Struthio camelus: one gene and its partners. The protein of the gene in region 1 purifies or fractionates together with the protein of each later gene. This does not show direct contact. Links are inferred from orthologs where the notes say so. Each region holds a gene or a part of one and is shown on either strand. Other genes may lie near its edges.

Evidence for each region.
Region 2: the proteins of BAG3 (region 1) and HSF1 purify together in Homo sapiens (affinity purification with mass spectrometry; 3 studies listed by BioGRID and IntAct, with this or other methods). This does not show direct contact. The link is inferred for Struthio camelus from reciprocal best matches to the Homo sapiens genes BAG3 and HSF1.
Region 3: the proteins of BAG3 (region 1) and DNAJB6 purify together in Homo sapiens (co-immunoprecipitation; 3 studies listed by BioGRID and IntAct, with this or other methods). This does not show direct contact. The link is inferred for Struthio camelus from reciprocal best matches to the Homo sapiens genes BAG3 and DNAJB6.

The regions. Positions count from the first base shown.
Region 1 is NC_090948.1:7,078,393-7,086,754, reverse strand, and holds the start of BAG3 (BAG family molecular chaperone regulator 3), read left to right. Parts: upstream 1-5,234; 5' UTR 5,235-5,349; coding exon 5,350-5,514; intron 5,515-8,362. UniProt on the Homo sapiens protein: Co-chaperone and adapter protein that connects different classes of molecular chaperones including heat shock proteins 70 (HSP70s), e.g. HSPA1A/HSP70 or HSPA8/HSC70, and small heat shock proteins (sHSPs), e.g. HSPB8.
Region 2 is NC_090943.1:172,755,442-172,763,091, reverse strand, and holds the start of HSF1 (heat shock factor protein 1), read left to right. Parts: upstream 1-4,489; 5' UTR 4,490-4,522; coding exon 4,523-4,648; exon of another isoform or gene 4,649-5,046; intron 5,047-7,650. Other genes in the region: ribosome biogenesis protein BOP1, read right to left, coding at 3,299-3,475, 3,914-4,042. UniProt on the Homo sapiens protein: Functions as a stress-inducible and DNA-binding transcription factor that plays a central role in the transcriptional activation of the heat shock response (HSR), leading to the expression of a large class of molecular chaperones, heat shock proteins (HSPs), that protect cells from cellular insult damage.
Region 3 is NC_090943.1:10,884,464-10,891,749, reverse strand, and holds the start of DNAJB6 (dnaJ homolog subfamily B member 6), read right to left. Parts: upstream 3,308-7,286; 5' UTR 3,165-3,307; intron 1-3,164. UniProt on the Homo sapiens protein: Has a stimulatory effect on the ATPase activity of HSP70 in a dose-dependent and time-dependent manner and hence acts as a co-chaperone of HSP70. Plays an indispensable role in the organization of KRT8/KRT18 filaments.

The DNA of each region.
Region 1 (8,362 bases):
AAAACTTCTGTCTCTACGTGTGGCATGTTCTGCTAGCGCTCACTAAAAGACAGTTTTACTCATGAAAGATGGTTTTCAAGTTGCCTTCTCAGTTGTGCCTGCTATTGGTCATACTCAGTTCTGGCAATGGTTCTTTTCTTTCTTTCTTTTTTTTGACTGATACATGCTAGTAAACCTTGAAAAACTAAAACAGGTTTCTAGCCATTTGGGTCATTATAACCTTGAGTACAGAATGGCAATTTATCCGCTAGGGGGAGGCCTGTAAATACTAATGGATAATTACCATTGTGGCAGTAAAAGAGACGGTGATAGACTCTAAATCTTCTCCTGATTTTTAATGAAGGCAGAGTTATCCTGATCGCTGCGTAGACCCAGATACCTCTTAAACCAGAGCTGGAGCTGTCTACTTGAGAGTTCTGTCTAAATGACTAAGGATGCACAGGGAATGGTTAACCAAACATGTATATTTTGTAAATATTACTTTAGCTTCCATAGGCCATTTATATCGTACTAAAAAACTGAGCTCTAAAAATCCAAGATGCCTTCTGCTGCTTATGTTCTGTGTTTAACTTTGCTCTTCCGTGCATACAGATCACAGAAATTGAAGTGGGTTTCACTTTGTTCACAGTCAGATTTGCTTTCTCGTTTTAAGGCAGGGTTACATCCCTTGTAGAAAATAAAAAATGAAAAGAATAAAGAATACTTTTTAAATGGAATTAGCTTCTGGAGTCTTATTCAGGTTCAAAAATCTGAAATTTGGAAATCTGAGTATATGCTTTGCGGATGCCAAGACTTGGTGCAAATGACCTGTGATTGAAACACGTAAGTTTAAAAAGCTTTTCTCCATTTAGCAAGTACATTTACCCCTCTATGTTCTTACTAATGTTTTGCATTTTCTATTGAAGTTAATAGGAGCTATATTTATATACCTAATTATTTGCATTTGATTACTGTAACTCCAATGAGCAGATGACACGATCAAACTGTACGGGCCGTACAATGGCTGCAGTAATACAGCAGTCAGTGTGAGATCAGACCCTCTGTGGATAGTGATCTATTTCATCAGCTGTTAGACTAAATTATGAGCTACAAAAACAAGGACAAAAAGGTCAGTAAAGTTATCTGTAGTATAAGAGGTAGAGTAGTAGAAGATTGCAAATCGCGGCATCTTTAATTTTCTGAAATAGGGGGCCAAATCATTTCAGTGATTTTTTTTGTTTTGTTGATGCCAAGAAGTCCACAATTCTGAACAAATCAAGAAGTCAAAATCTCCTCTGCTCCGGTTGTAGTTAGCAGAGAATTTTTAGTTAAGACCTTTTTGCTTTTAATTGAAATGGTTTGTACAGCTGGAGCAGGGTATTTCTTCAAAATGCAATCAGTGGAGTTCTGTGCTATTCAGTATTGATACTCTGGATGTGGATGAAGCATCAGGCTGTGGAAGTCATGGTAGTGGATTTGCCATGTTTATCTAACCTGAACATTAAGAGACTCCACGTGCCCGCTGCACTTATTAACAGAGCCTTTTTATGAACTCAATCTTAAATGCATCCAGCAAAGAACTTGTATTCCCACTTAGGAATACAGCTCTAGACACTTGTCATACACATTACTTACCCACAGATCCATCAGTAAAAGCTTTCTAGAATACCTGATCCAGAACAAACATTTTCGACTCATAGTCCTGATTAATCCAACTTTTTCTGTTCAGGTAATCTGCTAAATTATCATGGGTACTCAGAAGGTTGACCAGCCAATTTAGAGCTTATCCCAAGACACATTGCTTCCTGACATACCACAGAGATTTACTTGCTTATAATGGTGCTGCTTTGAACAACCTGAATTATTCAAGCCCATTTAGGAGAGAAGCAGCAGCACCATGGATAGCCTGCACAAACATGCCAGGCCATCTTGGACAGAACTGTCACCCAAGTCCTTGTGTGAACAGTAGATGAAACAGAGCACCTTGGCAGACAATTCATGATCCATCCGTGACAGAAGGTATGACAGCACGCAGTGAAGAACTTCCCCAGGTGGCCTATCTATGCTGTCCTGAGGTTTCTGGAACGTAGTTGTGCATATAAAATGAATTTACCACAGGCCATGGTATAATGTGGAAGCTGAGGCAAATTCTCTCCACAGTCTTGAAGATCAAAACGGAGAGATGATGTAGTTGCTGGCTTGAGGAAGAAATGGCTTTCTTGAGTTAGGGTCCTGGATTATTCCTTGGAAATCCAAGTGCTCATATGAGCCTAATGATTTTCTAATTGACTGGTGAAGAATCTGTCCATTTTCAAGACAAAGAAACACATGAAGACCCTGTACAGCTTATTATCTTTGGTTAACTGTGATTACATGGTTTCTGGTTGTTTTGGAACACCCTGGAACAAATGCTCTTCTGGGTCTGCAAAACCCTATGCAGATATCAACCTAAAGAAGTCAGGAGCACTATGTTTGCACCAATATGAAGAAGACAGAAGTCTCTCCAAAAAATAACAAAAGCTTCTTCATTATTTTCCCTTCTGAAATGGAATATATAGATCTCGAACCTGGAGTCTCATCTTAAAATACGTGGAGAGTACAGAAACTTCTTCATCTTTTAACAAATTTTCGTGGACCTGAAATTTTTGCTGAGCAGTATTCCTTACATGAACATTTCCCTAAATCAGTCTGGTCATGAATAAGACTAACAGTAATACAAACTAGAAGCCATGTTGCCTCGGAGTTGCAGTTATGGCCCAGCACAACATTGTATTAGAGAATAAAAAAGTGAATCACTGAGTTGCTATCCCCTATAACCTACCTAGCTGGGAATTCTTTCAGCTGTAAGAGGTACCAGGCTGAAATCTCTCTCTCAGGAAGAGATTTTAATTGACAGAAAAACCATGAGATCTAGCCAACTAAAATCAGTCACAAAAATGATTTTACTTCTTAGTCCACACTCCCTTCTCTGCAGCTGGAGCCTTGTCTCCGCGAGTCTCTCTCCTGTAGACAATCAAAAGCACCCCGACCTATTAGCTCCTGCTAATTTCTGTGAAACGTACTCTCCTCCATTCCTTAGCATGGCACAAATGCACAAACACGTCTAACTTACAATTGTTAGCTAGCCCTTTGAACTTTCCTTTTATTCATTCTTCACGTACTTGCTGACCTCATTCATTAACTCTGCTAAGCATACAACTAGCTATCAGCTGCAGCAAAACAAAGAAACCCCATTCTTCATTTCTCTATTTACACTCCATCAGGCACAAAAACTATGTGTATTACCTCAATTTACCTAAGTAGTTTCCCCGGCAAGACCTTTTAACATTTCTGTATGCTGTTCCCCTAAGTCAGTGGCTTTCGTTGACTTGGCAAGGACTGTGGTATATGCCACAGAGAACTTATGGTTTAAGCATGCTTCTTACTGTTCTGAAGATGAGACCAAAGAGTGAAATTTCTCTACAGATTTTTACAGATTGGAAGTAGAACAAATCTCAGATATCAAGTCTTTTGAGGCAACTGCTGATATTAATGAAGCTGGACAGAGATGGCTTTGATAAGAGCATGAGAGGTAGCAGGGTTAGGAGATATGTCCAGGGATGTGTATCACAGTCCAGGACTGATTTTAAGATATGCGAGATATGTGACTGTTGCTCTAACAAATGGGTAAGTCAGAAGCGATGATGCTGATAATACGAGCATTTCAAGGTACAGACTGAAAAAAAAAAGGTCAGTTTACAATACCTGCAAGTCAAAGGTGCACAATAACAATGAGGATAGAAAGAGCAGTCTTTGATGGACTACTGTGTAGTTCTGAAGGCAAGCAATGTACAGAATGGAAGTGTTACAGGAAGGAAGAAGCAAGTTTGAGGGGTTATTAGGTATACCAGCATAATGAAGTAAACTCATTCTGCCAATGGTTAAAGGAGTATCACCGTCAAGCAGTATCAAGAGATCTTTGGGCTTTACTTCCTCAAGCAAGAGGAGATCCTGACTGTCCCCAGGAGCGGGAACACACAGGCTTTTCTTAAGTACTTCAGTAATGACTATCTCCAAGGAATGCATGCCTTGAATTCCTTGAAGCAAGTAACTTTGCAGCAGGTAATGTCTGCACTTAAGGGACACTCTGCATTCACTGTTCTACTTAAAGTAACTATCAACAGGCATCTGTGGCATGACTGCCGGATGACTACAAGTGGAACAACTATGAAGTACAGTTAACTCAAACTGAACACTTAGGGGGAGTGCATGAAAAACTGATACAGCAGCCATAGAGGAAGGCATGATTTTCAAGTTTTGCGCTTTGACATATTCCTTGGTATTAGTGAAACTGAGGGCTGAGACACATTAAATTACAAAAAGCTAAAGAAGATCAAAACAGCTGAATCTGAAGAGCATGTCTGTCCATCCTCATACTTGGAAATAAAGATTATTTTTATTTGCTATTTGTCGGGTTTAGTCAATTACAACCTTAAGTTATCAGTCACAGGGCAAGCAAGATGCTCTCTGGGCTTTGGTCACTATACCAGGAGGTAGGAATTAATGGGCTGTTACGTCCCAACCATAGGAAGTTCAGAGTACGCTGCAGGGCTGTGTGTTCTCTGGGGACACTGCTGGCCTAAAAATCCCCTTCTCCTGTATCAGACTTACACTCTCGTAGCAGGAACTGGACAGAGCAGTAAAGCAGCATGCGTATCTTTTAGGTTTACTTTTCCAGAGTCTGCCTCAAGCATTGCTCCTGTTAAGTGGGCCTGTAAAATACATGTGCACTCCTGCAGAAAGGTAAAAGAGAGGACTCGCTCCACGCACTTATCCGCCCTGCCTCTTCCTGAGGAAGCCCCCGGGGGTGGGTCCAGACTGCAGATCTCTGGGGGCAGCAGCCGCCCCCCCCCCCCGGTCTGTTAAGACAAGACTCGCTCCAGTGCGACAGCAAGCAAAGCAGCCCTGCTCAGAAATCGCCAGTCACCCGCGCCACGCCGCCGGCTCTGCCGGGGGTGCGGGGCCCTCCCGCCGGGCCGGGCGCTCGCAGCGCAGGGGGTGAAGGAAACTTGCAGCCGCTGCCCCGGGGCCGGGCGGGGTGACTCAAGGGGCAGCCCCTGCCCGGCGGCCCGGAGGCGGCCAAGCTGTGCTAGACGCAACCAGAAGTTTCCAGCCGGCCAGCTTACCCCGCGCCTCTCGCTCTTCCTCCTCCGCCCCTCCTCCTCCTCCGCCCCTCCTCCTTCCCCTCCCCTCCTCCGCCTTCCCCCTTTGCACAGAGCGGCTATTTCCAGACACTTCCAGCCCCTTGTCTCCTCCCTCCCTCCCGCCCCGCTTGATAAAGGCGCCTGGCCGGTTTCCCCGCCTGACACTGCAGCTCCTGTCTGGCCCGGCATGAGTGCCGCCACTCACTCCCCGCTGGTGCAGATGGAGGGCGGCAGCGCCGAGCCGCTGCCCCCCGGCTGGGAGATCAAGATCGACCCGCAGACCGGCTGGCCCTTCTTCGTGGATCACAACAGCCGCACCACCACCTGGAGCGACCCGCGCCTGCGGGCCGAGGTACGGCGGGTGGGGAGGTGGGTGCCCCGCTCCGCGCCGCGCTGCTCCGCTCCCTTCCGCGCCCCGCCGCAACTTCGGCGGAGCAGCTCGGAGCGGGCGGGGGGGGGGGGGGGGAAGAGGGGGGAGAGCCGGCGGGGCGGCGCGGCCGCGAAGGGCAAAGCCGTGACAGAGCGGGCGGGGAGGGGCCGCGGCCGTTGGCGCCGCGCGGCCGTTGGCGCCGGGGCGGGGGGCAGGGCGCGGCCGGCGGCCCCCGCCCGGGGGGGGGGCAGGGCGGCCGGCGCTCTCCTCAGTGCATGGCAATGCAGTGAGGCCAGGAGCTGCCTTTTGTCTCTGACGCACTGCAGTCCCTTTTTTGTGCATTAAATCATTTGATACCTCGGCCCCTGTAATGTTTATTTAAAGTTGGTTAAGTCCACCCAGCCTGCCTGGGAAGACGCAAAACTTTGATGCCTTTTTTTTTTTTTTTTTTTCCCCCTGCTCCGGGTAGTCCAAACAGTGAATGCGTTTAAAAAAAAAAAAAAAAAAACCTAGAAACCCAATCCAGAGTTTATAACTTGTCAAGGTTTCTTTTCTGGTCACAAAGTATCTCAGTAATTTTGCTGTCTGGTTTTGTTTTGTTTTTAAGCATGCTCAGGGAAAAGCTGTATCTTAGTCCAAATATGTCCATGGGAAGAGAGGCAGCTGAGGGGAGAGCGGGTGTGAGGGGGTAAGGGCCCTCCTCAGTGGCTCTTTCAAGTCAAACTCTCTTGGTTCCCGGGAATACAGCGATTTGACCAGTATTAGCGTTTCTGTAAAGAATGCAGTGACTAGCCAGAAAGTGCTGGAAACTTTGAGCGGCACCAGAAGTTCCGAGTCCAGTGGAAAAACAATTCCTGTGGGATTTTTTTGCGTTTTCATCCCCACTTGGCCACACTTTACAGCTGTCGCCTTCGATTTTTTGCGACTGAATGAAACGGGTGGCGAGGGAGCGTTCCTATCAAAAAGCGCTGACTGTTTTTTTTTTTTTTGATTTGGCCATCCTCGCTACCTAAAACGTCACCCAGAGTTAGGGCCTAGAAAAGGGCCCCCGCCACGTACCAGCGGAGGACAACCGCCCGGTGAAAGGCGGAGGGAGGCCGCAGCCTGGGCCTGTGCGGCGGAGCCACGCGCCTGGCCGTCGGCCGGTTGGCGCGGCTGCGCCGGGGAAGGGCTCCTGCGGCTTGGGCCGTGGCTGGGGCGCTGCCCGGCCGCGCGCCCGGCGTGAAGGCCGCCGGGTTGGCAGGAGGCTGTGTGATGAGCGTGACCGTGCTCGTGTCAGCCCTCGAGGGTCACGGCCGCCTTGCTGTTTTGGCCTCTTGGGAAGAGCCTCGCGCCTGCTTGCTGGGAAGGAGTTCTGCTTGGGTTGCTGTTTTAAGCAGTAGCCCCCTATTTAAGAAATATATATATATATATAAAAATTAATTGCATGAAACATATCTGCGATGCACCGTTTTGAAGATACCTGGTATCTTCAAAATGTGTCTTCAATATACATCACAGACTTTTTTTTTCTTGGTAGCCTTATATAAATTACAAGGGTCAAAGCACTAGATACAGATTGTTATTTCAAGAATGGAAGTTTTTCTAATTACTAATTGAATGATAACGGCCTATTTTGAGAGTGCAGACCGTAACTGAAATCTCAGTGTGAGAGCAGCGTGGTATTTAAAACAAATGACCAGGGTATACTCTTCTGGCATAGAGCTGCTCCATCAGGGTAGCTTAGTGCAGTTGCGTTCACAGATACAAGCTATTGTTTTGAGAGTGTGGAAATGAATCCAAATGGACAAAACATATCCTTCTGTCCCATTTGTGGCTTTTTAAGTGCTAGTTAATTTAATATGCAAGTGTATTGTTCTGGTCGTAATGTAAAGAGGCCTTAAAAAATGTAATTCAATAATGGGAATATAAAGAATAGCATAGGAAAAGTGCTTTAACTCCTTTTTGGAGACACTGTTCTCCTAGTATAATGAGGCACCTGTTACACTGGCTGCTATGGCAATAAAAAGAACAAAATAGTTAAGTATGTTTCTTACAACCATAAAACATAGATGAGGAGAAACTAGTGCTATTTTACTCAAAGGCTTCTGTTATGGAAATACTGCTTGATGCTAACCCATTTAAGAGAAAAATAACACTTAAGCTGCTTTTGGTAATTGCATGAACACAGGAATTTGAAGTGCTCTAATGGATCAGTCTTCTTTTGAGTAGGTGCCTGATACAAGACAAATTTTCAGCCCTATCTGATATGAAATCTGTGGTAATGAGAAGTACTTCTTCTCCTGCCAAGTTGCAAGGGTTATTACAAATAGAAAAAGTTGCACCTGCTTTTGAAGGGCTTTGGTGGAATATAGTGTTGATTTTGGAGAGCTGCAGTGTGATCTTGCTCACAGAAAAATCTCCATATCACCATCTCTTATGGTGATAGAAATTGTGTGTGACTGATCTGATAGGGCCACTTGCCAGAGCCTAGAGAGTCTGTTCAAATTAATGGACAGCTTCTGAAACATTCATTTGTTAAGTACCATTTTATTTACGAGTACTATTGAGCAAAAACTCAGAATGTGACTCGAGGAAAGTGTTTCTGTTCCTAAATAATATTTTTGTAGCTAAGCTACGCCAGAGAAGATAGAGATTGATCACTGACATTGAATTTCAAATCCAACAATGTTTTTTTTTTTTTTTTTTAAAGGCATTAGATACTACTTTTACTTAAACTAGTTGAGAAGGACTGAATTGCAAATACAGGCAGACAGAGGTGAGGTACTAACACTGTTCTCAATTCCTGTCGTTCTTAGGCTAACTCAGAACAGAAAACTTAGCTTGTGGG
Region 2 (7,650 bases), on another chromosome or scaffold:
AAGCAGGCCAACCAAAACACGCTGGGCTAGGGAAGTGGGGGCCTATCCCCATCCCCTCCTGCCCAGCCCTGTTACAAGGCTGTTGAGGAGAGTGGACAGGGATGGACGGACAGCAACGGGCACACGGTCCTGCAGGAGCAAAAGGGAGAATGGGTGCAGCTCAGTGGTGGGATGTGTTCAGCCTGGGTGCAACATGGACAGGGGCTTCCAGGGCTGCACCTTGCACATGGGTGACCATACGCCCTCCTCCTTTCTCGGGCCCCACGTGAGACAGCCTTTCAGCCTGCCAGGAAAACCCTGGCACCAAGAGAGAATCCTGCACACAAACAGCCCCCAACCATCGAATGAGAAGGTCTCACAAAGTCCACCTGGGCCAGCAACACCAGATCTTCGTGCTGAGTTCAGCTCCGAATAGATCGTTCTGAACGCTGATCACTGACCAGGCGAGTGAGCCACCAAACTAATGCACTTACAACACTCAGCTGACACTACAGACAACTTCTTCTATACTGGAAGAGACCAGCATTTGAGAAATCTCATTCAAAATTAAACATATCTAACCAAGGTAAATAAACAGTTCTCCTGCACGAACAAGTGAAATATTTTCTAAACAGAAGCTAGCTCTCTTCGTTCCTGGCCTAAAGCCATAAGTCCATTAAACATGACAGTAAAATAGCACTCGGGCAAGAGCACTGCGCGTCTACCATCTCTGCTGGCAGCTCAGCGATTCTCCCCAGCAAGGGACGACAACTTAGTGCTCTGAAGAAAGACCCAGCTGAGTCAGAGTCGACCTAAGAGCGTTCCCTTCTTAGACTCTGCATGTCTACTCTACACTCTTCTTCTCAAAGTTTCCACCCATGAAACAGTGAGCGCAGTCCAAAGCTGAGAGCAAAAGCAGGCAGAACAGTGACCAAGGAAAGGCTCAAAATGCTTTTAAGGAAGCAGGCTCCTGGGGAAATTCCTACTTAGTAATTTAGCTCTGCTCTCCCTAACTATCCAAGCACTTTGAATGCAACATAAAAATCTTAATTGTGCATAGCTCCTGAAATTCTCAAGTCACTCTGGAAAGCTGTCTGAACTGCAGAAGTTTCCAACACTATAATGTAGCAGTCTTTAACCCATATATTTATGGCATTATGCAAAGGGCCTGTAAAGAAGGAACAGAAGAAAACCTCCCCTCAGGAGGCTGGGGTTCACTAGACAGGGTCCACAGCTCCTTTAGAAAGTGTTCAGGAGTGGCTGCGAACCAAAAAGGACAATGGCACAGATAGTAGATTAACTTCGTTGCAAGACCCCAGAGAAGAAAACGGTCTGAAAAGAGCAAACCTCTGTTTAACCCTGTATGGGAAAAGTGAAACCCTCATAAGGAGCGTTTTTTTTTTTTCAAACAGGCACAAAGGGTAAATACATTCCTGGCCAAGACTGATATGTCTGATGTTTTTTCCCCATGTGAAAACCCTTCAGATACCCCTCTGAAGAGGGGATCCAATTAAGGCCACTGCTCCGTCTCTAACACTCCCTGCTCAGAAGGGCTGCCGACCACGTTAGATAGCTCTCTTCACAAGCCGCCCAGCGACACGCACGGCTCCTGTGTGGCAGGAACGACACCATTCCAGGCCCACATGCTAAGATGCCATTGACTTTGTTATAGCGGAGATCCTAAAGGCAGAAGGCAAACCACCAGGCCATCCCTGCCCAAAGCAGAAGCAAGGCCAAAGCACATCTCGCCGATGGCCTTGTTCACAGTAAGGGGAATCTACGTTCAAACTTCCTCCGACCTCGTCAGACTCTGCTGCTACTGCTCTAACTCTTTTATAGGCTGTGCCAGCTATAGAAAGCACATGCTATTTCAGTGTAGAGCACTCATCACCGCGTTTAGCTTGACCTGGGTTGCAACAAGACAGTGACGGATCCCACTGCCTGCAGATATTTGCCTATGGGCCGGTAGTATTACAAAGAGTTGGATATGGAGTAACAGGTGGAAGAACTGAGAGCGGTGGAAGGGATGATGCCTAAGAACCAGCCTCAGCTCTCATACAATAAGACGGACACAGGCGGACATACAATGCATTGGCAAAAGTCCTGGCTTGGGGAATTGTCCTACACATTCCTGTCCCTGCGCAACACTCTGCTGTGCTTGTACAGTTGATTACATGGACACGTGGCAAAACAGATCAGAGAGCCAATGCCAAGGAAAACAACCACCGCTACCAACAAAAAAGCCTGTGCAGTTCAGGGGACCAATTGTTCTGAAAAGCAAAACAAAGCAACAACAACAAGCCCCATTTCCACTGTGCTATTTCTGGGCTGGATCAGCTGCCTGACCTAGCCCACTAAGTGGATTCATAAACAGCTGTTCAAGCATAACAAAGACAGCGGTGTCGGTGGGGACAAGCAGCTGTAGATGGAGACGACTCAAGCAGCACTGCTGCTGAATACCAAAACTGCAGCCTAAGGCACCATTATAAAATTCCTAAACAGGTTATTAGAGTAAGTTTCTACTCAGTTGCTACTCCAGACCTTGGTAAAGCTTCTACATGTTGCCCAAATCAATAAAAACACAGCTCGAGAAACACAGCCAGGAAAACAATAAGGCACTTTTTGTTCACAAGTTGGAGCATGACCCAGGGCAAAGGAGGCTGGAGTAGCCTAAGTAACATTAACGTTCATTAATATCGCAAGAGGAACTAGAGTGTTAATTCTTCCACCGCTCTTTCTGCCTGTGCTTTCTGAAATAGAAGTAAGGCTGTGTCTTTACAGGATTTTTTTTTTAAATGGCATCGACAGCAGAAGTATCACTGCTAGCACAGATTCTAGAAGCGCAGAGAGGCGTAAAATCCCTTTTCCAACTAACAAACAAGCAGCACCACAGCTCTCCAGGCTGCTTCTCATCACCAAATGCAAGCCTAGGGTCAGGAAACGTAAGCCTCACCTAAGCCTGTACACATAAGGTTTCTTCTTCACTGACGCTGTGTCCAAGAGGGGACACCAGGCATGCGAATGAACGTTGCCCCCCCCCCCAGCCCACCCCAAACTTTTAGGGCTGCTCTACTCAGCGCGCAGCTCAGCCAGGCTGCCGGCGCCAACCTAGCTGCACTGGTGTCACCGCACAGAAAAACGGCCCGTGACCTTCCCGAGCGCGCTCCTGAGAGGAAGGCTCCCCTTGGCAGGAGCTTCGTCGCCGCCTCAGGCGGGCGGCCCGCGCTCTGCTCTTCCTGCCCGGCTCACCGAGCAGGGGCGCGGGGGGCCCCCCGCGCAGAGGCCTCCGCAAAGGGGCACCGGGCGGTGCGGGCCTTACGTGTGCCTGCGAGGGCGAACCGTCCTTCGGCTCTTCCTCCTCCTCCTCCTCCTCCTCCTCGGTGCTGCTGTCGCTGCCCGAGTCCTCCAGGCCGGAGTAGACGCTCTCCTCGCTGTCCGTCAGGTCGTCGCTTTCCGTGCCCGGCTCCTCCGGCACCGCCGCACCGGCAAGAGGCCGCTGCAAGGCAAGAGCCGAGGTCGCATCACACCGGGGCCGCGAGGGTGGGGGGGGGGGACCCGGGGGCGACACCGGCGGCGCCCGCGGGGCCCCTGACAGGGCCCGGGCGGCCCCCGACAGCCGCCGCCTCCCCCCTGCCCCGGCGCGGCCGCCCCGTAACCATGGTGACGCCTCCCCGCCGCCGCCCCGTAACCATGGTGACTCCCGCCCCGCCGCCGCCCCGTAACCATGGAGACGCCCCCCCACCTCCCTCCCCCGCGGCGCGCGCGCCCCCCGACCTGCTCCATGGCTCCTTCCCGCCGCCCCGCGTGCGCCGCCGCCGGCCACGTGCGCGCGGGTCAGAGGTCACGGCGCACCGCCCCCCCCACCCCTCCCCTCCATCCCGGACCGGTTATTTTCTCATTCTTCTTCCGCTTCCGCCTCGCCGCCGGCACGCACCGCGCCGGCCCCGGCGGGAGGAGGGGCGAAGACAGCCGTTCGGACGGAAAAATAAAAAATAAAATTAAAAAAAAAAAAGAATCGGGGAGGGAGGTCAAAGGTGAGAGGGGAACTCGGCCTGAGGCGCATGCGCCCTAGCCCACCCGCCCCTCCCCGCCCCGCCGGGGGCACCGCGCATGCGCGCGGAGGGGCGGACCCGAGGCGCCGGCCCGGCGGCGCATGCGCGGTGCCCCGCCCCGCGCCGGGCGGTGGCGGCGGCGCGGAGGGGGCGTGGCCCCCCGTCCACGGGCGGCGGCGGCGGCGGCGGCCGCGGAGGGGGAGGGGGCGGGGCGGTCCCGCGCATGCGCGCGGCCGTCCCGCGCGGGGGGCTTGTCTCGGAGGCGTCCCAAGATGGCGGCGGCCATGCTGGGCCCCGGGGGTTGCAGTGCGCAGGCAGCGGCCGGGCCCCGCCGCGGCGGTCGCCGGCGGCACTAAACCCCGCGCCGCCCGCCCGCCCGTCTCGGCCTTCCCTTCCTCCCTCCCTTCCCCCCCCCGCGCCCGCCCTCCGGCGGCTCCCCGGGGGGGGGGGACGCGCCGCGGCCTGCCCCGGGGCCTGCAGCCGCGGCCGCCATGGAGGGGCCCGGCGCGGCGGCGGTGGGCGCCGGCCCCGGCGGCAGCAACGTGCCCGCTTTCCTCACCAAGCTGTGGACCCTGGTGGAGGATCCCGACACCGACTCGCTCATCTGCTGGAGCCCGGTGAGTCCCGCTTGAGGGGACGACGCGGCCGAGCCCCGGCCTGTGGCCCGGGCTCCGCTGTGACTTCGCCAGCGCCAGACCTGAGCCTCGGTGTGTCACAACGTCGCAGCGGGTTCCTGCGCCTCTCCGGGAGAAGCGCTTGCCGAATTAGAGGCCTTCCCCCCACCCCCAGTGCTTGTGCAGCCTGTGAACCTCGTTGCCTGAGTAACACCCCACGGGGAAACGAGCTCTCCCCTGTACTTAAGGGAAAAGCGGTGTCCAGGTGCTCGCCTAACTGTTCCTGCGGCAGGGAACGCTGTGTGTGGCTTTTAGAAGCGTCATTATAGCTTGCAGCGGTAGAGCCTGCGTGCAGGCGAGCCTTTCTAGCCTTTGCCCAGCGCTGGGCACGTGCTTCTGGTGCGTTTCTAAAAAAAACGCCCCAGGTTTGTACTTAACACCAGTCACGCAAGCTTCGTTTTCCATCTCTTCTAGCCACTCGTGAAAGTTTAACTTTTGTCTGAAAGATAGCGGTATCCAGAGCGTATCCTGTGAGCAGTCTTTTGGAGGGTGATACGTTCACAGTGCTCACCTGCAGTCAAAATGGAAAGCTTCCTTGCTGTTTGGTTCTTAAGTTGACAGACCAAACAGTTAAGTGGGAATCAAACTCTTATGAATGCTCAATTACTCCGTCTCCCACAGTCTGTTAACAGACTCCCATATCACCTTGTCCTGACTCCAGATCAGATACTTGCTACCAGAACCGATGAGGGGAGAGAAATACGCTGACATTGGTAAGAGTGAAAAGGGCTGTCATACACAGGTTTCACCTCAGATGGAAGTGAGGAGCGAAGACAATGGGAACTGTTGTTAAAGATAACAAAAATGAAAGATAAGGGCCAAAATAAAAGCTAATATATCCTGGGAATGTTTTTTCTTGATCATAGCGTGATCATAGCTGCTCTCTACCGACTTCCGTCTGCTTATCTGACTCAATGTGGTAGTAACGAGATGAAAGACCTGCACTGTGTGTTTTCCACAGATATTGCATTGCTCTTTAACTATGCAAGTCATTGCCTGTAAACAAATGCCTTGTCTTGTCACTGGAACAAACAGAGACTTAATGCCTTGCGTTTAATGAGTTTATGATCATTACCGTGTTGCTGGAATAGTAACCATGAGAAATTGCATTTGCGGGAGGGGCGGTGAACAACATTACCCTGTTCCCTTGCGTTTGGGAACTGCAGTGGGAAATTCAAGTTGCCTTAATCTTAGCTGTGGGTGGAGGAGGTTGCTTGGAGATACTATGCAAACTTTGGGCTTCTGTTTACAAGCAAACAGATTCGCCTAGGCTTCTTGGGTAGTGCTACAGTGAACTGGGACTGGAAATCAGCAGGCTTTTGTAAATAGGAATGATGTGCTTTGCTTGTGCTGCCAGGTACGCAAAGATGCTTACATCTTTAAGTTTCTCCTCCTTCTGGGGGGAGAGGGAAAGAAGGGATGAATGGTACCTGTGATGCGATTTTAAAACTCAAGAGTTTATTGAAACGCGTGGTGTTTGTCAGTGTTGAGGCTGCACAGAGGACTTCCTGACTGCTTGCTTCCATCCCTGTGGCATGATTTGCTCCTCCCTCTTCTTTGGGGTTATTTCTAATCTGGGCCATTTCAATTTGTGCCATGAGTACGCAAAGTTGTATTAGCCCATCGAGGGGGTAAGTAAACTGTTCCTAGGAGGCGGGAATGAAAAGGCGAGGAAGAAACAATCATAAACTGTTTTTTTCATCTTGTGAAACAAGCATCCTGGGTAAGGATTATTTCATGGTAACTGTCCAGGTACGTGTTCTTGTCCTGTGTTAAATGTGCAATATTCTAATTTGTACAATGTGTAATAAACTCCTCCATGCTTACTGTAGGGTAAGTGCGCATGAAAAGCAGTACAGTAACTCACTCATGGTGTTGGAGCCCTAAAGTTCAGCCTGGAGACACACTCCAAGGCAACTTTGCTAGACTTGTAAATAGATTTTTAGATTTTTTTTTTTATACTCTTGATAACTGGATGACTCTTATAGGTCTTGACAAGGGAAGGTCTGGATACAACTCTCAAATTTATCGTAAAGGTCTTAGCTCCTGAAGGTCTTCACTTCAGAAGTTTGTTTTTGCTTTTATGGAATGACTGTGCCTGGCATCTGACCTCCTTGTTATTCATGATGTTGGAAGTACATATTTTATGAGTTGATGATGAAATCTGTGCGAAACATCCACTGTGTGAAAACCTGGAGAAAGAGAGGGCTCCTCCCCTAAGTAGTTCTCTTTTCTTTTTTCTTTCCTTTTTTTAATGCAAAGAGTGTGGATACAAAACCAAAGTGGCTGATTATTCGTAAACTATCTCAATGGTGCAGGATGTTGGCTGGAGGAGAAAAGAGCTTTGGAAAATCTACGCAGCGGTAGTCCGAGAACTGAGCCTTTTAGTATCAGTGAAAAGCAAATTTTGCTTTGGTGGGAGAGGGACAGAGTAGGAGACAAATCTTTGCTTCATGCGCAAGTTGCTTGCTTTGTTGTTCATCCCGTTCTTTCTTTTCTCTCTCTCCCTTTATCTTGTACCTGTTCTCTTTTTATCATCTGCATTTATTTCCTTTCTTTCAATTTCCTGTGCTAATGGGTGGGAGGGAAAAGCTGCAGGGGTTCAGGCGCATGGATCTTGAAGTGCTTGCAATGAGGAGAGATCTTTTATGTGTTTGTGAGAAGAAATCATCTCAGTAGAAAGGAAAATCAACATAACGGGAGGGTTAAAGAAGCAGAATATACTTCTTAGATGTCTAACTCTTAATTTTACTGCTTTGAAGGTAAATTCCTCAAATATAAATTTGTATGATTCCGTGACACAGTTTTTTTAGTAACTTTCTCATCTTTGAAACCTCTCTACAGGTAATGCTGGATTTTCAAATGTGCACCCCTGTGTAGTCACTGCGGGTCTGAGAGGCAGGATGGCTTTTAGTCATTTAGCATATTCTCAGCATCAGATTCTG
Region 3 (7,286 bases), on another chromosome or scaffold:
GACATACAGAAGACAACTTTTTATTATAACTAAATCTATTTTAAGACCAGCCAGCTTGTCATAACCTCAACCTTAACAGTAAAGACAGACCGCAGTATAGATTAATAACCTGATTTAAGTAAAAAAAAAAAAAAAAAAAAAATTAAGAACTAAAGAGCCCAACCTCAAATGCTACTAATTTCAATTGTGTACCTAGAGGAAACATTTCAGTTTTCAGGTGAACATTGTAGCAGATCTATTTCCAATTCAATCATTTCTTAATTTTCAACCTTAGAAAAAGTCTACTGTGCAGAAATACTGCAAAACTAACTTAAGCTACTAAAGTAAGAGATCAAGAAAGAACTGAAAAACTTGAATCCTAGTTTTCTTCTTCTATCTAGGGAAAAATGACCTGGCAAGCCATCTGTGAAACATACACAGCCCAAAAACATCATTGGGCCCTCTTGATATTCCTGTTTTCAACCTGAAGGACTGGGTCCCCATTCATATCAATGGAATTTTAGTATTCATTCAGAACAAATGAAAAACAGAAACCAAACCTAGAAATGCCAACCTAAGGAGTGAAGTTTATACGCATGAATTATTTCTTACCTAGTTGTAAAGCAAAGAAACAGAATTAAACTTTCATTAAGTCTAAATTCAAGAGAAATCTAACATCCATTCAAATCTCATGCAAAAGTAAAGAAAACAATAATTTAAACCCCAGATCAAATATAGGAGTTTTGATTTAAATTTATCTTGAAATACACAATCATCATACATAAGATCCACTAAGCTTTAACAGAGCTAGATAAGTTTTCACTAATCCTTCCATTCCTTGAATAAATCAAGTTACTTTATAGATTTAAAAAAAAAAAAATCATTTTCCGTTAGCAGAAAATGAGTTCAGGATACTGCTGATTAGGTTCTTCATAAATGCTACTGAAGAAATGCATCATTTACTACGTAAGGAGAAAAATACTGGAATACTAAACACTGCACAACTCTACGTTCAAAATCAAGGCTGGACTTCACATTTTCTAAAATCAAGGCTGGACTTCACATTTTCTAAAATCAAGGCTGGACTTCACATTTTCTAAAATCAAGGCTGGACTTCACATTTTCTAAAATCAAGGCTGGACTTCACATTTTCTAAAATCAAGGCTGGACTTCACATTTTCTAAAATCAAGGCTGGACTTCACATTTTCTAAAATCAAGGCTGGACTTCACATTTTCTAAAATCAAGGCTGGACTTCACATTTTCTAAAATCAAGGCTGGACTTCACATTTTCTAAAATCAAGGCTGGACTTCACATTTTCTAAAATCAAGGCTGGACTTCACATTTTCTAAAATCAAGGCTGGACTTCACATTTTCTAAAATCAAGGCTGGACTTCACATTTTCTAAAATCAAGGCTGGACTTCACATTTTCTAAAATCAAGGCTGGACTTCACATTTTCTAAAATCAAGGCTGGACTTCACATTTTCTAAAATCAAGGCTGGACTTCACATTTTCTAAAATCAAGGCTGGACTTCACATTTTCTAAAATCAAGGCTGGACTTCACATTTTCTAAAATCAAGGCTGGACTTCACATTTTCTAAAATCAAGGCTGGACTTCACATTTTCTATCAAAATCATCACTACATACAGTAAAAACAGACTGTTTGCTGAAACCTGAAAGTCCAATACATTGACTCAGTCAAGATGCACTACTTCTCTACAGCCTGCAGCACAAGAGCAGAATGGCTAACACAAGTGGTGTGGCATTTCAGTCAGTTGTAGGACTCCAGAAAGAAAAGCAAAAGAAACAAACTACACAAAAAAGTAAACATAGGAACAAAATTTATGAAAGCATTTACTCACTGGTCCAAACAAATCTTCTCTGACAACATAATCCAGCAAACTAAATTGTACTTTAACCACTGGGCTCTTGATTCATCAACTGAACATATAATCCTTCCTGACTGGAAAACAAGGAGCTCCCCAAAGTGTAAACAAAACTTAAGTCCAGCAAGCAGCAGTAACTGCAATCTCAGAGGACCAAGAGTTTGAACCCAGTTTCATTCCAGCTAGTCACACTATGTCAACACCTTGTTCTTATCACTCTTTGATGCTTTACATCATATTAAAAAAAAAAAAAGCACTTGACAACTGATTGACTATGCAATGTTGCAAGTTTGACCATTTGCACATTAGCATCGCTGCAAATTCAGCTTCTATAATGTTATCCTGGCCAAAATGAAATCAACCAAGCATTATCTCATTATCAGAATTCATGATAGATTTGCTCAATGTTTTCAGTCTCTTCTAACGCTCAAGTCTGTGGCGCATTTCATCAACCAGCACAAGCTCTGACTGTTAAACTGTAATACAGCATAAAGTGTTACTACAAGCAGGAATACTGGTCATAAATAACTTCACTTCCCAACCCACGGCCCTCTCCTAAGTCCTGAAAATACAAAGCCATTTATAACTTGGACACCTCTGGCCACCACTCAAATGATGTGCTGCCCTCAAACACAGCACATCATACTGAGCCTACTCTGTAAGTTAATAACAGCAAAATAGAATACAGCTTCCATCGCAAAAAAAAAAAAAAAAAGCAAAAGCACATTCAGTTTATAAACACACCAAAAAGTAAACTACGAATAAAAGAAGTTCAAGTAAAAGACGATCCAACACACTCAAAAGAGTCATGGGTGAACAGAGACTCCCCCTCACCTTTTTGCTACTGGCAACCGATGCAAACAAAAACAGAAATGCGGATTTTTTTCCCCCTAGCCCTTCTGCGCTTGCCGTAAACAGGAGAAGGAGGCCGAGCCGCCTCGGGATCCTCCGCTGCGCAGTCCCGAACTGCCGCTCCGCCACCGCGACTCCCGGGATAAGCCCAAGGAGGCCGCTGCCCGCGGGGGCGGCTCCCCCGCTCCCCGCCCCCGAGGGCCGGGGATCCCCGCCGCCCCGCTCCGCTGCCCACGCAGCCCTCGCTCCCGCCTCCCAGGAGCCGCCGCAGGGGCTCCCCAGCGCGGCGCCCCCGCGCCAGCCCGCAGCATGGCGGCCGCCCAGCCGGGCCGAGCCGAGCCGGGCCGAGCCGGGCCGGGCCCCACACCGCTGCCCAGAGCCGAGGCCGAGGCCGGCCCGCCCTGCCCGCCGCCACGGCCTTCCGCGGCCCGCCCAGCACTCACCGGCCCCGGAGCCTCAGCAGCGCGGCCGTCACCCTCCCCGCCCGCCCGGCGCAACGGCAGCGGCGGCGGCAGCGGCACCTCTCCTCGGACTCAAACGGGAAGTCTCGTCAACGCGACGCCGTCACTTCCGCCCGGCTGTTTCCGGAAGTTTCTGGAAAGGCGTGCTCTCGCCGCGGCCGGCCCGCCCGCCGGGCGCCGCGCGGGCCGACCCCGCCCCCTGCTGGCTGCCCGCCGCCCTGCAGCGCGCGCGCGCGCGCCGCCGGGGGGGGGGGGTGGGGAGGGGCTGCGTTCGAACCTCCCCCCTCCCACCAACGGCTGTAACGGCCGCCCGCGCCCGGGGGTGCCGGCCCCTCACCGGAGCCCCGGGGGCAGAAGAGCCTCTGCAACGGCCCTCCCTGCCCCAGGGCACGGAAAAGTGAAAAGGCTGATTAAAATCCCTACATGCCCATCTCTTTTTTAGCCTCAAAAATTGTAACCCTTCCCCTGAGCTTATTTTAAGGCTACATTAATTGTTTTCCAGCTGGCACCTGTACAGGTTCCTTTGTGGCTCACACTGTGCTGTCTGAAATTTAAGTATCCCTTGGGTCATGTTTTGAGTATGTGGTTTTCTGACGGCTGTGAGAAAAGCGTGAGCAGGGAGAGCATAGCATAAGCTGCCAAGTAATAATTCTATTTTAAAAAAATGGAGTTTATCCATGCTTTAAATTGCTGCAAAACTGTATTTCTTGCCCTTTATTTAAAAGAAGTTGCATAAAGGCATTGTTTTATGGATCAGTGAACTGAAATTAGAGAGTTTCCAAATGTAAAACCTATCTGCTCCCAAAATGAAGTTAATTCAAAGGCTACTCAGGAATTTGGAGATGAAAATGCTTATGTCGGAGTAAGATGTACCAACGCAAGAAGGAACAAGCAAGCTTGGAATAAGCCAGAGGAAAACCTAATAAAAATCAGAAAGGTAACTGGTAGGATAGCCCTGGCTTCGAAAGAAATTTAGCTGCAGTGAGATTTGATGCCAAACTGGGGTCATGAAAACAAGTCCTTAATTTACATCAAAGACATACCTAGCACCAGTGTAAGTTTCCCGTCAGCAATTAGCTGTGAAGTGCAGAAAGTTTTTGACCCACTTGGAAAGAAAAACAAAAAACGAAGAACAGTAGGTTAGACTGGCTCTTTCTAACAGGTGCAGTTGCAAACCTCAGAAGATTCAAGGTCTAGCAAGCTCAAGGGCAAACTGCAGATGAGTACTCTCTAGTTCAGGAGAAGATTATATAAAATCTTGCTCTAATTCTTTAAACATTTCTTGATGTAGAAATAAGTTTTTCCTCAACCTGTGGTAGACAAATGAGAACAAAGTATCATGTCTTTAATCTCTTAAAAATCTCACAGGCAGTAAATACACAAAAAGTAGCAAATGAAACAGTTATTTTCACAGAATCACAGAATCGTTTAGGTTGGAAGGGACCTCTGGAGATCATCTAGTCCAACCTCCCTGCTCAAGGAGGGGCCTCTAGAGCATATTGCCCAGGATCACATCCAGACGGGTTTTGAATATCTCCAGCGAAGGAGACGCCACTACCTCTCTGGGCAACCTCTTCCAATGCTCTGTCACCCTCACACGAAAGAAGTTTTTCCTCAGGTTCAGATGGAACTTCCTGTGGTTCAGTTTCTGCCCGTTGCCTCTTGTCCTGTTGCTGGGCACCACGGAGAAGAGGCTGGCCTCGTCCTCTCGACACTCCCCCTTCAGATACTTGTACGCGTTGATGAGATCGCCTCTCAGTCTCCTCCAGACTGAACAGGCCCAGCTCTTGCAGCCTTTCTTCATAGGAGAGGTGCTCCAGTCCCCTCATCATCTTGGTAGCCCTCCGCTGGACTCTCTCCAGGAGTGCCATGTCTCTCTTGTTCTGGGGAGCCCAGAACTGGACACAGGACTCCAGCTGAGACCTCCCCAGGGCTGAGGAGAGGGGCAGGATCACCTCCCTCCACCTGCTGGCAACACTCTGCCTAATGCACCCCAGGAGACCATTGGCCTTCTTGGCCACAAGGACACACTGCTGGCTCATGCTTCACTTGTTGTCCACCAGCACTCCCAGGTCCCTCTCTGCAGAGCTGCTTTCCAGCAGGCCAACCCCCAGCCTGTACTGCTGCATGGGGTTACTCCTGCCTAGGTGCAGGACCTTGCACTTGCCTTTGTTGAACTTCCTGAGGTTCCTCTCCGCCCAGCTCTCCAGCCTGTCCAGGTCCCTCTGAATGGCAGCACAGTCTTCTGGTGTGAATTTTGCTTTTTTAGAGAGTAGATTTTGTATTAAAGTGGTAGCCCAATGGATCCAGACCGTAAAATCTTCCATTTATTCACGCAAGCAGAACAAGACTAGCAAAGAAATGTAATTCTGGATGGAACTATAGGACTGAATCACAACACCCTCTACCTGAATGCAATCAGTATCGTTTCTGCTTAAATACAATTGTAGTAAGTATGATAGCATTGCATGAACTTGCCCACAGAATTTCTAACACCGTTGCCCTAATGCTAGACTGCCTAGCTCTCCAATAGCACTGTTCAGAAAGAGGCAAAATAATGGGGAAGGCTTTGAGACCTATTTTGCCACTGGAGAAAAGAAGGTGAAATGCCTTGCTCACAGCTGAGGGGAGGGCTAGCGCAAAACACATAAAATACGTGTTTCCAAAAAAGTTGTAGGAAGAAACAAAAGGTAACATAATTATATTTTAATATGTTTAATCGTTTGGCACTTGTCTTAGAAGTGAGATACGAGTAAATTTCCTGAGACTTTGCACAAGGGGGAACCACCAATAAAAATACTGATATTAGGGAACATTTTTTAACTTATTATCTGTGAGATCTGAGCTTATCTAACACTGAAAGAGAACAAGAAGGGGTTTTTTTTAGCTTTACATTATGCATTTCACATATAATTTTCCATTTTCTAGGTTATAGGGAAAGGAAGGAGATTGCAAGAACTTCAGCAAATGACAAAGCCAGCCAGATGGGGAAGTGTGCGTTGTACTGCAGAGCGCACTGCAGAGACTTGGGTGACTGCGCAAAGCATCCCCAGAACTTATATCATAAAACAACATGACCCCAGCTTGTCCCTGTCACACCTGAGCTGGTTTCTGCAGAGCCTCTTTATGTCATTGTCCCCCGTGCTCCAGTTCTGGGAGGTTTTATTATCTTGGCGCAAGGATTCATAAACACAGGTTTAGGTCAGCTCTGGCAGTGTACCTAGGCAGCAGCCCAACGCAGCGACATCAAACTGATTCTGCCAAGAAGCAGCTCAAAGTCTGTCAGGCTCGCACTGAGACTGAGAGCTGATGGGACCTCAGTGGACTTGGTGAAGTTAGGAGACAAAGGGACAGAGATAGCAGCTAAGGGCTTCATTAAGATATTTTAAGCTTTTAGGAGCAGGCAGGAATAACTCCAGAGACTTCAGGCTGACATTGCCTCTAACACAACATCCATTAGATTGCTCAGCTCCTACCAAACCAAGAAGTCTCTGCTTCTGACGTGTGGTCTCAAGCTCCCCCTATCGGTTAATGACCAGTCATTCCGTTTGACCCTACAATTTTTTTCATGGACAGAAGTAGATTAGACGTTCACGGTAATTTTGCAAGCGCAAGACTAACAGGACCAACTTACAAAAAGTGCAGAGAGTCAGCTTTTTATCCTTTTTGATATTTCTACTTCCTGTTGAACTTAACAGAGAAACATACCTCTGACATAAATCCAAGAGTGGGTCAAGAACATATACATACAAGGTCTTGTTTTCCTAGCTTCTGTTTTCTGATCAGAAGAATGTTGCTTGCTGGTAAGCAGGAAAGGAAATGCTGCTTTCATGCTGTTCTGCCCACTACACTTGTTGTCTTAGCCTGGTATGGCAGGTCATCCATCTCTTACCCCTTCAGATCTTCAGCTGATACCTCAACCTGCGAGATTTTCAAGGCTAATGAAATCTAACCTATTACATGTTAGGCAAAGTCTCTGCTTCTCCTAGATCACCTGAAGCTCAAAACAAGTATGGTGGCTATGACTACTTTGCTTTAAAGACGTGCAGCATGCTGGCTGGCCTGTCTGCCTCCTAACCTCACTAGGCTGCAGGAGCCCTGAGA